Rhinolophus ferrumequinum: one gene and its partner. The protein of the gene in region 1 interacts with the protein of each later gene in a biochemical or structural test. Links are inferred from orthologs where the notes say so. Each region holds a gene or a part of one and is shown on either strand. Other genes may lie near its edges.

Evidence for each region. The genes of interacting proteins can lie anywhere in the genome.
Region 2: of the proteins of RIGI (region 1) and RNF125, one has a biochemical effect on the other in vitro, tested with the Homo sapiens proteins (3 studies listed by BioGRID and IntAct, with this or other methods). The link is inferred for Rhinolophus ferrumequinum from reciprocal best matches to the Homo sapiens genes RIGI and RNF125.

The regions. Positions count from the first base shown.
Region 1 is NC_046295.1:49,873,494-49,882,117, forward strand, and holds the start of RIGI (antiviral innate immune response receptor RIG-I), read right to left. Parts: upstream 3,437-8,624; 5' UTR 3,342-3,436; coding exon 3,236-3,341; intron 1-3,235.
Region 2 is NC_046302.1:26,751,398-26,759,030, reverse strand, and holds the start of RNF125 (E3 ubiquitin-protein ligase RNF125), read right to left. Parts: upstream 3,578-7,633; 5' UTR 3,226-3,577; coding exon 3,062-3,225; intron 1-3,061. UniProt on the Homo sapiens protein: E3 ubiquitin-protein ligase that mediates ubiquitination and subsequent proteasomal degradation of target proteins, such as RIGI, MAVS/IPS1, IFIH1/MDA5, JAK1 and p53/TP53.

The DNA.
Region 1 (8,624 bases):
TCAGCCTCAGCAAATTTAAGAAGACTGAAATCATACCAAGCATATTCTCTGATCACAAGACTTTGAAATTGGATATCAACTGCAAAAAGACAGCAGGAAAAAACACAAATACATGGAGATTAAACAACATACTTTTAAAGAACGACTGGGTCAAAGAAGAAATTAGAGGAGCGATCAAAAGATACATAGAAGCAAATGACAATGAAAATACATCCTACCAAAATTTTTGGGATGCAGCGAAAGCAGTTTTAAGAGGGAAATTTATATCATTACAGGCCTATCTCAAGAAACAAGAAAAATCCCAAATAAATAACCTCATGTTACACCTTAAAGAACTAGAAAAAGAAGAACAAATGAAACCGAAAGTCAGCAGAAGAAAGGAAATAACAAAAATCAGAGCAGAACTAAATGAAATAGAGAACAAAAAGATAAAAGAAAAAATTAATGTGACAAAGAGCTGGTTCTTTGAAAAGATTAATAAAATTGATAAACCCTTGGCTAGACACACTAAGATAAAAAGAGAGAAGACACTAATTAACAAAATCAGAAATGAAAAAGGGGAAGTTATCACGGATACCACAGAAATATAAAGGATCATCCAAGAATACTATGAAGGACTATATGCCACCAAATTCAATAATCTAGAAGAAATGGACAAATTCTTAGAAACATAGCCTTCCTAGGCTGAACCATGAAGAACTGGAAAATCTAAACAGACCGATCACCAGTAACGAAATTGAATCAGTCATCCAAAACCTTCCCAAAAGCAAAAGTCCTGGACCGGATGGCTTCACTAGTGAATTCTACCAAACCTTCAAAGAGGATCTAATACCAATCCTGCTCAAACTCTTCCAAAAAACTGAAGAGACAGTACTCCCTAACTCATTTTGTGAGGCCAACATTACCCTGATACCAGAATCTGGTAAAGACAACACAAAAAAAGAAAACTACAGACCAATATCTCTGATGAATACAGATGCAAAAATCCTAAACAAAATTCTGGCAAATCGAATACAACAATGCATTAAAAAGATTATTCATCACAACCATGTGGGGTTCATCCCCGGAGCACAAGGATGGTTCAACATCTGCAAATCCATCAATGTGATACATCACATAAACAAAATAAAGGACAAAAATCATATGATTATATCAATTGATGCAGAAAAAGCATTTGACAAGATACAACATCCATTTATGATTAAAAAACACTTAATAAAATAGGTATAGAAGGAAAATACCTTAACATAATAAAGGCCATATATGACAAACCCTCAGCTAATCTCATAATTAATGGTGAAAAACTGAAGCCCTTTGCTCTATGTTCAGGAACACGACAGGGCTGTCCCCTATCACCTCTGCTTTTCAACATAGTGTTGGAAGTCCTTGCCAGAGCAATCAGGCAAGAGAAAGAAATAAAAGACATCCAAATTGGGAATGAAGAAGTTAAATTATCACTCTTTGCAGATGACAAGATGCTATATATAGAAAACCCTGAAGACTCCACCAAAAAGCTATTAGAAACAATCAACGAATACAGTAAAGTTGCCGGCTACAAAATCAACGTACAAAAGTCCATTGCATTCCTATACACTAACAATGAAATCGCAGAAAAAGAAATACAAAAAACAATTCCTTTTGCAATTGCAGCAAAAAGAATAAAATACCTTTTATTCTTTAACCAAGGATGTGAAAGATCTATATGCTGAAAACTAGAAGACATTTTTAAAAGAAATTGAAGAAGACACAAAGAAATGGAAAGACATTCCATGCTCATGGATTGGAAGAATCAACATAGTTAAAATGGCCATATTACCCAAAGCAATATACAGATTTAATGCAATCCCCATCAAAATCCCAATGGAATTTTTTAAAGAAATAGAACAAAAAATGATCAGATTTGTTTGGAACCACAAAAGACCCTGAATAGCCAAAGCAATCTTAAGAAAAAAGAACAATACTGGAGGTATTACACTCCCTGACTTTAGCTTGTACTACAAGTCTACAATAATCAAAACAGCATGGTATTGGCAGAAAAACAGACATATAGACCAATGGAATAAAATTGAGAACCCAGAAATAAAACCACATAAATATGGACAGATAATTTTTGACAAAGAAGCAAAAAACATACAATGGAGAAAAGACAGCCTCTTCAATAAATGGTGCTGGCAGAACTGGATATCCACGTGCAAAAGAATGAAATTGGACTGCTGTCACCATGTACCAAAATTAATTCAAAATGGATCAAAGACTTAAGCATAAGACCTGAAACAATAAACTGCATAGAAGAAAACACAGGTACTAAACTTATGGACCTTGGGTTCAAAGAGCATTTTATGAATTTGACTCCAAAGGCAAGGGAAGTAAAAGCTAAAATAAACGAATGGGACTATATGAAACTTAAAAGCTTCTTCTGCACAGCAAAAGAAACTATCGACAAAATAAAAAGGCAACCAACTGAATGGGAGATGATTTTTGCAAACAGTCCCTCCAATAAGGGGCTAATATCCAAAATATACAAGGAACTCATGAAACTCAACAACTAAAAAACAAACAACCCAAGTGAAAAATGGGCAGACGACCTGAAGAGACATTTCTCCAAAGAGGACATACAAATGGCAAATAGACATATGAAAAAATGCTCAACATCACTAATCATCAGAGAAATGCAAATAAAAACCACAATGAGATATCAGCTCACCCCAGTCAGAATGGCTATACATCAACAAGACAAATAGTAACAAGTGTTGGAGAGGCTGTGGAGAAAAAGGAACCCTTATCCACTGTTGGTGGGAATGCAGATTGGTGCAGCCATTATGGAAGGCAGTGTGGAGGTTCCTCAAACAATTATGAATAGAATTACCATATGACCCAGCAATCCCTCTCCTGGGTATCTACCCGAAAAATCTGAAAACATTTATATATAAAGACAAGTGTACTCCAATGTTCACTGCAGCTTTGTTTACGGTGGCCAAGACATGGAAACAACCAAAATGTCCTTCCATAGATGAATGGATAAAGAAGTCGTGGTATATATACACAATGGAATACTATTCGGTGGTAAGAAAAGATGATATAGAAACAGAAACATTTGTGACAACATGGATGGATCTTGCGTTCCCAGCAGGCTACCTATATTGATTAAAAGAAGGGTGGAGGGGGGAAGTAAAGGAAAACACGTCCTGAATTGTTTTCCGGCCCCAAGAGGCGGGCGCCGCTGGGGACCACTCACCCTCCTTAAACCAGGGGGCCATGTAGCTCAGGATGTAGGTAGGGTCCAGAATCTTCGTGACATAGTTTTGGAAAGCGTGCAGATTCCGCCGCTCCTCGGCCGTCATAGCGGCAGCTCGACTTCCCGTCTCACCTGCGCTCCACTCCCCGGGAGCCCGCAGAGAACCGGGAGGGATTTTCCCGAAAAACGAAACTGCAACTACTAGCCCGGCCGGGCCGCGGAGGCTGGGTTACCAAAGGACACAGCCGCCCCGCCTCCCTGTCCCCGCTTGGTTTCGTTTCCTCTCCCGCAGCTTGCTTTACCCACCCGTTGGCGCTCGCTGGCCGACGCCTGCGGGCGTCGCTTTTTTGATTTTCATGTTATCTTACTTTTTTGTTTTGCTTTTATAGCGGTAAAATTGAGATTCAATATAGTGCACAGATTTGAAGTGTACAATTCTGAGTTTTGAAAACTGCATGGAGTGGAACCACTTGCCCCAGGTTGTGTGCGCCCTAAGGTAAGTGTAAGCGTATGTTTAACTTGACAGGAAACTGCAACCTCTTCCAAAATGGCCTTACCATTTTGCATTCCCACCGGTAGAGAGCTCCAATAAATACACATCCAGTAAATACAGACACTGGTCAGTTTTGTTTGCCACCTTGGTTGGTATGAAATGACCTATTACTGTGGTTTTAATTTTAATTCCTCAAATGATGATATTGGGCACATTTGCATATACTTATTCGCCATTCATGTATCTTTTTTTGTGAATATCTGCTCCAATCTTTTGCCTGATTGAGTGGTTTTTCTTTGCGTTATGGATTTGCAAGTTTTTAATTTACTGGATACAAACTCATTGTCAAATACATGTATTTCAAATATCTTCTCCCAGTCTGTGACTTACCATTTCATTTTCTTAAAGGTGTCATTTGAGTAGAAGTTTATTTTGGTGAAACCTAATTTATTAGTTTTTTTCTTTTGTTTACTGATTTTTGTGTTCTCTTTAATAACTCTCTACCTAGTCCAAGGTCATGAAGATATTTTGTGTTTTCTTTTAGAGTCTTTGTGTTCTTAGCTTTTACATTTAGGTCTATGATCATCTCAAATTAATTTTGTTTTGGTGTGAGGTAGGGGTCAAGGCTTCATTTTTTTCACCATACTTCTAATTGTTCCAGCACAAATTGTTTCATTTGTTGAAAAATTTTCCTTCTCCCACTGAATAGCCTTGGCATCTTTGTCAAAAGAATCAATTGACTGTATGTGTGCAGGTCTATTTTTAACTCGTGTTTCATTTATTTGCTGATACTGTTTTATTCTTCTTTGTAAAGACTGTGTTGGCTATTCCAGGCTCTTTGCATTTCCCTATGACATAAGAATCAACTTGTCAGTTCACACACACACACACACACACACACAGGCCTATTGAGACTGTGATCAGGACTGCATTGATCCTACAAATGAACTAGGGGAGAACTGACATATTAACAATATTGAATTCTAATCCATGAATTCATTTACTTAGGTCTTTAATTTTTCATTTATTTGTCTTTAATTTCTCAGAGATATTTTAGAGTTTTAAGAGTAGTGTTTTTATACCTATCTGTTAAATCTTAACATTTCATGTTCTTTGATGCTACTCTAAATGGAATTATTTTTAAAGTTTAATTTTGAAATTGTTAGTATATAGAAATACAAATGTTCTGTTTCTTGACCTCGTTTTATACAACACTGATAAATTCACTTATTAGGTCTCATAATTGTTCTGTAGATTCCTTAAACTTTGCTAGGTAAACAATCATATCCTTTGTCAACACATGGTTTTTACTTTTTCCTTTCCAATCTTTATGCCTTTTGTTTCCTTATTGCACAACCTATGATCTCCAATAAAATGTTGAATATAAGTGGTGAAGAGTTGACACCCTTATCTTATAGTAATCTCAGTGGGAAAACGATCCATGTTTCACTTTAATTACAATGTTGGCTGTAGGTTTTTTTTAGATGCCTTTTATCAGATTGATCTTCTTTTATTCCTGGTTTACTCAGAGTATTTATCATGAATGAGTATTGAATTTTTCAATTTTTTTTTTTTTGCATCTATTGTGGTGATCATATATTGTTAGTATACCTGAATTTCATTGATTTTTTTTCCTGAGTATTAAACCAACCTAGAATTCCTGGGAAAAAGTCCATTTGGTCATGATGTAGCATCCTTTTTAATATATATTTCTGGATTCAATTTGCTAATATTTTTGTATCTATGTTCATAAGGGATATTGGTCTGTAAGTTTCTTTTCTTGTAATGTCAGGGTTATGCTGGCCTCCTACACGAGTTCGTGTAAGACTGGTATCATTTCTTTCCGAAACATTTAACAGAATCCACAAACGAAACCATTAAGGCTTGGAGTTTTCTTTCTTTGAAGATTGTTTATAACTATTCAATTTCTGTACTAGACATAGGCTATTCTGCTTTTTTATTTGATCTCAAATCAATTTTGGTAAGTTGTGCTTTTCAAGGAATTTGACCATTTCCTCTAAGTTATTACATTTACTGGCAAAAAGTTGTTCATGATATTCCTTATCCTATACCTTTTTTAAAAAATCAGTCTTGCCAGGAATTTACCAATTTTATTTATCTTTTCAAAAACCAACTTTGGCTTTAGCTTTTCAAAATTGTTACTCTATTTTCTATTTCATTGATTTCCGCTCTAATCATTATTCTTTTCTCCCACTTTAGGTTTAATTTGCTCTTCCTTTACTAGGTTGTTAAGGTAGAAGTTTTGATCACTGATTTTACATTTTCTTTTCCAATGTAAGCATTTGAGGCTATAAATTTCCCTTTTGTCAGCTGATAAGTTCTAACATCCCATCAATTTTGATATATGGTTTTCAATGTCATTCCATTTGAAATAATTTCTAATATCCTTGTGATTTTTTAACCTATGAGTTAATTGAGAAGTATGATGTTTATTTTTCAAATATTGGGAATTTCCTCAACATTTGAGGGTTACTGATTTCTGATTTTAATCTGTTGTGATCAGTTTAATATGTTGTAAGATTTCAACCTTTCGAAATTTGTTGAAACTTGTTTTACGGCCCAGCATATGGACTATCTCGATATATGTCCCAGATACACTTAAGAAGAATGTGTATTCTGCAGTTCTTGGGTGTAATGTTCTTATACATGTCAATTATTCAGGTTGAGTTATAGTGTGGTTCAAGTCACCTATATCCTTACTAATTTTCTATTTGTTTTGTCAAGTACTGCGAGGGGTTGTTAAAATCTCCAACTATGATTATTGATTTGTCCACTTGTCCCTTTTGTTTTATCAGTTTTTGCATCATAAATTTTATAGCTGTTATTAGATACAGACACATTTAAGGTTGTATTTTCCTGATAAATTATGCCTTTTATCATTATGAAATGTCTCTTTTGTCTCTGTTAATGCTTGTTATGTCAAAGTACTATACCTGTAACAGCTTTCTTATGGTTACTGTTTTCATGGTATATCTTTTTCCATCCTATTGCTTTCAACGTCTTCTAATATTTAAAGCACATCTCTAGTATACAGCTTATAGTTGAGTCTTCCTTTATTGTATCCAGTCTGATAATCTCTGGCTTTAAATTGGAGCAGTAAATCCATTTACATTTAGTTATTGACATGAGCTTAAAACAGCAAGTTTACTGTTTGTTTCATCCAATTTTGTTCCTTTGTTCCTATATTCCTTCAATTTGGGTTAATCATGTACATTACTTTTCTCTTTTAGCTATAATTCTCTGCACAGTCACATGCCGCTTAACAATGGGGTAAGTTCTGAGAAATGCCTTGTCAGGCAATTTTATCATTGTGCGAACATCATAGAATGCACTTACACAAACCTAGATGGTATAATCTATAACACACCTAAGCTACATGGTATAGCCTGTTGCTCCTATGCTACAAGCCTATGCAACATGTTACTGTACAAAACAACACGAGATTAAATCAAGCACTAGAGAAAAGGATGCCATCAAGAGACACAGTAAACACAAGCTGGATGAGGCTGCTGCTGGTATAACACAACATATTGTTTTACAGCAAACTTTTTTTATATAAGTAGAAAGAGTGCACCCTAAAATATATAGTGCAGTAAATACAAAAACTAGCCACAGTCATTTATCATTAGTACACACTGTACAAGATTGTATATGCTATCATTTTATATGACTGGCAGCGCAGGTTTGTTTACACCAGCATCACAAGAATGCATTGTGCTCCAATGTTACAACTATGACATCCCTAGACAATACGAAGTTTTCAACTCCATTACAATCTTATGGGACCCGTCATATATGTAGACCATTGTTGACTATACATTGTCATGAGCCCATGACTGTATTCTTTTAGCTACATGCCTCTCTCTCATCCTTAGATTTTATCAGTCTACTTAGAATTATTGTATCGTACCAGGTAAAATTTAAGATCCTTGCAACCACATAATGCCATCTACCCCAGTCCATCCTTTGTGCTAGTCATAATTTTTACTTCTCTAGATCTAACGAACCACATAATACAATGTTACAAACTTTATTGTAAAAAGTCAGTTGTCTTTTAAATAAGAAAATTATAGTCTTTTCTATTTTCCCATCTATTTACCACTTCGGGTGATATTCATTCTTATCTGTAAATACCGGTTTCTATCTGAAGTCATTTCCCTTCTGGCTTCTCCAATGTATTGGTAAGGCTTACAGTGAATTTTTCATTTCAAATACTGTTTTTAAAAATTTGGAGACTTTCGTTGCTTCTTTTTCTATTTCTCAGCTGAGAACCTCCATCTGTTCATTAATATAACCCTCTTTTAAGTTCATGTACATATTTCTAATAGCGTCTTTAAAGTCTTTGTCTTCTAATTTCATCATGTGGATTATTTAAAGTATGTTTTTTGTAACTGCTTTTTCTTGACTATGGGTACCTTCACGTCTAGTAATTTTGTTTTATACTGGACATTATAGCTATGCTATAGAATCTCTAGATTCTATCATTTTACACTGGGGAGTGTTGCTTTTGTTCTAGCATGATAATTTACCAGCTACTCATTTTGAATTTGTAGCTTTGTTTTACATTGTGGTGGGTCTGTTCAGCTGTGCCCTTAGTGCAAGGTGAATCCCTTAGTCCTGGGTCATGGTCTTTACTGCAAAGGTGTGGCTCAGTAGGGGTTTCAGTGAAAAGCCCTGTTTTCCCTGCCCTTGTTAAGTTGGTGAAACTCAGTAACTCCAAATTCTGTTTTCCCTGTGGTGGCAGCTGATGTCTGATGAGCTCTTTCAGCCTTCCAGCTACTGCTTACCTGGGCTCCTCGGAATCTCCCATGCATGTTTGTTTCAAGGTCAGCTAAGGAGTTGAGTGAAAGTTATATACAAATTGTAGCGTTTCCC
Region 2 (7,633 bases), on another chromosome or scaffold:
CAGGCATCTACACCATCCCTGAGGTGGTCTCCCTAATGAGACAAGTGTCCATCGGATACCCTACAAAATCTTTACATTTATTACATTCCCCAAGCTGACTTTCGTAACCCTGTGGCAATCTTGTGGTTACCGACTGTGCTTTCTAATCCCCTCACCTTCTCCCTTATCCCCACCCCCCTCCCATCTAGCAACCCTCAGGTTTTCCTCTATGTCTCTGACTGTTTCTGATTAGTTCATTCATTTATTCTTTTCTTTAGATTTCACATATAAGTAAGATCATATGGTATTTGTCTTTCTCTGTCTGACTTATTTCACTTAACATAACGTTCTCTAGGTCCGTCCATATTGTTGCGAATGGTAAGATTTCATGCTTCTTTATGGCTGCGTAATACTCCATTGTATAAATGTACCACAGTTTCTTAATCCAGTCGTCTACCGATGGGCATTTCGCTTGTTTCCATGTCTTGGCTATTGTGTATGGTGCTGTAATATCGTGGCCCAGTTTTATTCCAAAGGAAATATAGAGCTAAAAAATACCTGTTCATGGGTTTTTCGCTTTGTGGAATGGCTTTGAAGGAAATAGAAACTATATTTTGAGCCTTCATTATGGGCTACTTTTACACTAAATACTCATAAAAATTCCATTATCCACCCTATTTTACAAATGAAGAAACAGATTCAATGAGATTAAGGAACATCTTGGTCACAGAACTGGTTAGTGGCAGAAATGAATTTCAAATCCCGGGCTTTCTATCAAGCCCAGGGAAGCCCAAGGTTTCTACTGCATCATAATTCAATTTATAAAGTGCTATATACATATTCATTCAAGGTATTGTTGCCATTATTATACTCGTTTGACTTGAAATAGGTTTATACACAGAAATTAGCGTAAATGATCTAGTTCAACAAATTTGAACATTAGCATCTTCAATAAGAGATAATATAGAGAGGCTCATTTGCATGTCTTCATTTTCCAAATTTAAGTTCAATGGAAGACAGAAATTGATTTAGGAAGTACAAATGGTGTTAACAGAGCTCACCACCGCCAGTGCTGAAAGAGCTCTAATTAAACATTTATAAAATGGAAGGGGCCCAAGTAATTTTGCCAAAAGGAGGGATATGGAAATTCTGCCCACAGCCAGAACAATGGACATAGATTTGTCAAAACAAAGAACAGTAAAGTGAAGGAAGGCCACTCGGTCCAGCCCTTGTTGTTAAACTTCATGACTATTTTTCCAGTTGCTGGTTTCCTATTCAGTCTAACAAAGAAAAAGATTAAACAAGATTTAACATTTTGCAAATTTATATTATCCTTTAGCAGAAGCCAAAGCACTGCACACAGTAAGTTAAACCAGGGAAAACAATCTCCAAACATTAACAATCTTCAATATGCAATAGCAAAACTTCCCATTTCAGTTCTACAAAAAGAATCTTCAAGACTTGATGCCTACTGTGCATCTTTGGCCCAACTTGAAAGTTGTAATGCTAATACAGACTAAATTTAAATGAGGTCATTACTGCCTGGAACTAATCAATGTATTTTATACTGTTACACAACATCTTGGCTTCCATATTGGCCTGGCAATGGTCTGCCAGTGAGCTACTTCTGGACAGCTGAGAAACAACATCAGTAAACAGACGGGAGGTAAATTAGTCTTGGGTTTAAAGTACAAAACTGAAACAACAAGTCCTGAATACAGTTACAGAATAATGCCCAAGGCACGCTTTATTTCAACATTGTGTGAATGGCAGATTCTTCTCCCTTGGCTCACTGCTGGGCTTTTCAGTGGTGAAAACGACTTCTCAGGTACTAGGCTACAGGTGTCAAGGACCACCTAAGTAAGTCCTTGAAAAAACATTTTGTGTACTTGCACTTAGAATATGGTTCTATTCCCCCCTCTACAACTCCCCCCACCCCCAGCCAAAAGCACTTACTGCGGTATCCCCCAGGCGCTTCCTCAAGCTATAGGTAGTGAGCCGTCCAAAAAAGACATTAAGTGGGTTTCCGCTCTTTTTCTTTGTAATCTCCCTGACACACTGACACACACACACACACACACACACACACAGTCACACACCCGTGCGTCCATGAAAAGAAAGCTTCTAAGCAAACAAACTCTAAGTAAACAAACACAAATGCGCAGACCCAACTCCTGCCACTACTCGAGAAGGCATTAAGAACGTGCCAATTTTATACAGAGATTTTGTTTTTAAACTCTTCTTAGAAACTAGCATGGTTGTGCGCCAACGGCGAATCTTAAATAGCACGTGATTTTTAAGATAGTTAATTTTATCTAAACTATGTATTGTTTCGGGGAGGCTGTGCGTAAAACAGGTAATCTGCAACCTCTTGTCACTCAGTGGCTGGGTTTTAAACGGCTCCACTCACGGGCTTGGTGCAGCCCCAGACCCCACCCTGACAGGTTGTTGAACTCGAACGACTACGGAAAGTCACTTGGACGTTCCAGTTTAACTAGACGATTTTGGAGGGATCTGGGTGTCTGTGTTGGGAAAGGGAGGGGAAGTTAGGGGTGGAAAGAGTTTGCACAGGTCCTTGTTTGCTCAAGAGGCGAGCCTCGGCGGGCGTTCTGGAACACGTGCACACAGCCACCAAAACAAAACCGACCTGGGGGCGGAGGCAAGACCCTCCGGATTAACCGAGTTCAGCCGGATAACCGCTGTGCGGAAGCCCACTGCTTAGTGCACAGGCAGGTGCTGGTTCTCCTGCCAATTTCAACCTCTTCAGCCAGGTGGCTAGCCCTGGTTCTCTGCGGGTCCCGTGCCAGGGATCCCCATCTCCGGGGCTCCGCACCAAACTTTGGGAGGAGGCAGTTCTAGGGGGACTGCAGCGTCCCCTTGTTGCTGCTTTCTCCCTTAATCCTGTGTCCACCTTCAGGTTGGGCATTTTTTCCCGTGGCTCGCACTCAAAGGGTCCAGATTTCTCCCTGCAGTAGTTTCCCTCAAGCGCTGGTTTCTGAACTCCCCTTCCCAGGCCTTGGGCTCCCCCAACGTCGCCCGCCCTCGGGGATGGGCGCGCAAACCGAGCTCCCCTGGCACTTACACGTGGCCACAGCGGGTCCGGACAGGTTGGTGCAACACCTCAAGGCACACCGAGCAGTCGAAGGACGTGATGGGCAGCTCGGTGTCCCTCCTGCGTTCCAGGGCCCGCGGGGTGGCTGAGGCGGGTGAGGATTTGCCGCTATCGCTGCTTAACACCGAGCCCATCGCTGATCCTCTTACCCAGACAGCTGCCAAGAGCTCAGTGCCTGCTGCCGGGTTGTTTTGTTGTCCTGCGGTGGAGGAAGGAAGTCCCGGCCCAGCTGTGATCGCCGCCTCCCAGCGCGCGCAGCAACCGCAGCCTAGATGCAGCCTCCTCGGTCGCAGCGCCCAACCTCGGCCTAGGGCAGGCCGAGAGCGCGGCAGAGCGTCTGAAATTGCCTTTTGCTCGTTGCCTTGGTTGAGGCGCGGAGGCGGAGGCGGCAGCTGTACGGTTCACGCTGTAAAGTCTCGTAGTCCTACGAGGATTGAAACCTGAAACCTCAACTGCAGAGCAGAGGACCTGGTTGGGCAGTGAACTTTCCAGGCTATCGTGCAATCCTCCTCCCCCACAGTTAAGGAAAGCGCGGGCCTGGTTATACTTTATGGGAATCAGGGCACACCCCCTTGTAAGGTGGTGGTCCTAGCAGTCCTGCACTGTTGTAATCACAATAAGCTACAAAGATGTATGATGATTGAGCATCTCTTAAGACAGTGCTATTCACTACTTCAGTCAGTACCCCATTAATGGAGAGGTAGCGTGGGGTAGTGGAAAGAGCTCTGAAGACCTACATTCGAAAGCCAACACCACGACAAGATGTCTAGTGCTAAATTCTACAATCACTAGTTTCCTCGACTCAGGATCTCCTGCTGTTGTTTGTATTCTCGGCCCCATACTCTTTTAAACATAACCCAATATATCATTTATTAATTGACACATTTAATAAGTCTTATTTAGTGCCCACTACATGCCAGACTCCATTCTGGTGATGGAACCCAGTTCCCAACAAGCAAACAAAACTCTGGTTCTCATAGAACGTACTTAAAAAGAAAACTTATTTTGAGATCATTATAGTTTACATGTTTATTAAGAAATAATACATACTAATACATAATATATACAATACATACATACAATACTACATAATATAGTCACACATATAATACATTAAAATCCCGTAAACTTCACCCAGTTCCCGCCAGACTTAAATTTAAAGAGAAGATGTAAGTAATCAACAAATAAATAAGTGAACAAGATCATTTCAGATAATAAGAGCCATGAAAAAGATAAAACAAGGAGTGAGGCTGCGGGGGAGAATAAGAAGGTCAGAGACTTTTTGGATGAGGTGACATTTGAGCAGAGTCATGAATAATAAAAAGGAGTCAACTATTCAAAGGTTTAGGGAAAAGCTTGCTAAGCACTGGGGACAGTGAGTGAGGCAAGAACAAAACACAGAAACAGTGTGGAGCCAGAGCATCGGGGACCAGCGCGCGTAGATGGGATGAGATAAGGTAGCAGACAGGCCTGAGCGTATCCAATCTTACAGGCCAGGTCCAGGAGTTTGGATTTTATTCAAGGTGCCGTGATTTGATTTACTCTGCTGTGTGTGCTCAAAAAGACAGGAACAAAATAAGAAAGCAGAGAAACCAGTTAGGAGGCTACTGAATTTGTCTAAGTGAGGATGATAAAGGTTGGTACCAGGGAGTTATCTGGGTAGAAGGTGAGAGGTGTACAGGTTCGGGATATATTTAGACAAAAGACCTAAAAGGGCTTGCTAATGAATTGGGTATCTTTAAAAGAAAAACCAAAACCTTCCCTTGATCCCTACATGTCTCTCAGCTCCTGCCCTGTGTCCTCTTTTAGGCCAAATTTCTGGACCTGATTCTCTACATTTATGTCTCAATTTCTTAATTATTCCCTCTTTATCCAGTCCAACCTGGACTCTGAACCAACCACTCAGCCTCCATCTGTTCAAAAATTGCTTCAATCCCAATGTCACCAGTGAGTGGTTTTCATGTGGCTAAATCCAATAGATTCTTTTCTGTCCTTTTCTTGCTTGACTTCTCAATTACATTTTATTTGTCAGTGTTGATTTGCTCCCTCCTTATAATAGAAAAACTCTTTGGCTTCCTTCCTTCCTCTCTCTCTCTCTCTCTCTCTCTCTCTCTCTCTCTCTTTTTCTTTCTGGCTGTTCTTTCTCAGTCTCCTTCACTGGCTTCTCCTTCTCCAGGGGAAAGCTAAATGCTAGAGATCTAAAGATTCTGTCTTAGGCTCTTTACCCTTCTTATTCTTCATTCCTTCCTTAAGAATCTCCAAAACCACATAGATTCTGTTAATCATCTAGATTCTGAAGACATTCAAGTATTTATCTCTACTCTAGGCTACTCAAAGACCCAACTATTTACTTGACATACCAACCTGGTTGCATTAGTCACCTTCAGCTCAACATGTCCAGTAAAAAGTCATCATAGTAAACTCTGTTCTACCTCCAGTTGTTTATCTCTCTTAGTAAATGGCACTAGTAGCTAGTGGCACTGGTAGCTCAGTCCAAACATCTGAAGCCATCCTCGATTTCTTCCTCTTCCTCATTCACATTAAATCAATCACAGTCACAATCAGAATTCTGCCTCATTTTCTCTCTCAGTAGTTCTTGCATGGTTTCATTTTCTACTATTCCCATGGCCAACTACCACATACTTTAAATCATTGTGTCCTCTTGTGTGACCTGTTGCAATAGTTCCTATCTGCTCCACCTACGCCCACTTTTACCACACTGACCAAGCTATTATCCACATTGCAACTAAAGTGACCGTTTGAAAAGCAAATATCTTATGTTGCCCCATGCTCAAAACACTTTAATGGCTCTCCATAACCCTTAGGATTAAATTCCAAATCCTTATCATGATTTACGAAGCCCTGCAGATCTTAATTCTTTCAATCACTATAATCAGTTAGGACACCTTCAGTGGCAGGGAATAGAAGTTCAACTGAAAGTGCCTTAATTGATAAGGATATTTACTATCAAATATGGTAAATTAGTCCAGAGGTAAGCAGCACAACAGTTCAATGATGTCCTCAAGGTCTCAGCCACTTGCCATCCTCAGTGTATCAGCAGTGTCTTCCTCATGGCAGAAAGATGGCAGGCACTGTTCCAGTAATCACATCTATACGCAACAATCTCCAAAAAGCAGAAAGGAAAGATAGGGTTTCCTTCTTCTAGCTCTCTCTCCTTTTAAGTAGGAGGAAAATGAGGCCTTCTTCTGCAGACGTTCCCTTATATCTTATTGGTCCAAATTGGGCCCAATGACCATTCTTAAACAGTCATTAGCAAAAGGCAATAAGGGTACTCTGATTGGCTTCAACTCATAATTTATCCCACAGAGTGTGGCCTTTCAGTTATCTGAACAATATAATTTGGGGTTCTTTTACCAAGAAAGAAGAGGATAAGGCAATGGATAAGCCAACAATAGGGTCTCCCAAAATAACCATTTTTGACCCCATCTGCTATCACTCTCTCCCTTATTCTGCATGGTTCTGAATTTCTCTGCTTCTTTCAATTCCTTAAGTGTACTGAGTTCTTTCTGTCCTCAGAATCTTTATCCATGCTTTTCTTGTTGTTTGCTTTTTGTGTTGTTGTTGTTGATAGCACTTTTTATTAACACTCGCCACACTCAACTTGTTCCAATTCAAATTTCAGGTCTTAGTTTGGTGACTTTTTACACCACATCCATCTCACACTATCTCCTTGATTCTTTCATAGCCTGCTGTATTTATTTGCCTTACTATTTATATATTTTGCTCCTAGCTACTCCAAAAGTTAGAGATAAGAGATGTAAAATACCTGGCATGTAGGAGGAGATGATGTGTATATTTATATGTGTAAGTCAGTACTAATCTCATGGGGTAGATATTATTGTCCCCATTTTATAGCCTCAGAAAATTTAATTTAGCAAAAGGTCACATGGTAAGTGGCAGAATCATGTTTTCATTCTAGATCTTTTAAAATCCATGTGCTTTTCACTATGGCACTTGAGAAGAATCATAGAAAAGAATAAGATAAAATTAAATAAAATAATGCAGGAAAATGGGACCTGGGAAGATAGATAAAAGGTAAGCATCTGATATTATTTGTAAGGCTCTTAATAAACGTATAAAGGTGGCAATAATGATGATTAAGGTATCCACCAGAGAATAAATTCTCAATCCAGACTCTAAGATCGGAAGGGCATCAGAAGTATAGGTTAGTACAAAGGAAATTTGAAAGCCCTAGAATCAATGTCCCTGGTATCAAGAAGGCTAATGTATCTCTCAGTAAACCAAAAGGAGAGCACAACTGCCAGAAAAAAAAAACCAAAAAAAAACTTTATTTTCTTGTAGGAGTGATGAAAAGAAATGAATTTACCATTTCAGGTAGTGTTGAAAGTATGAGAAAGACATTCCTATATTCTTTGAAGTTTGTTTTAGTACCAAAACCTTAGAGGAAATCTAAATGTCCATAATAGGGAAATGTTTTCTTAAAGTGTAGTAAATTTACTCAACAAATAGATAAAACAACTTTAAAAAAATGGTGCAGCTCACCATTTTTAATCCTATTTG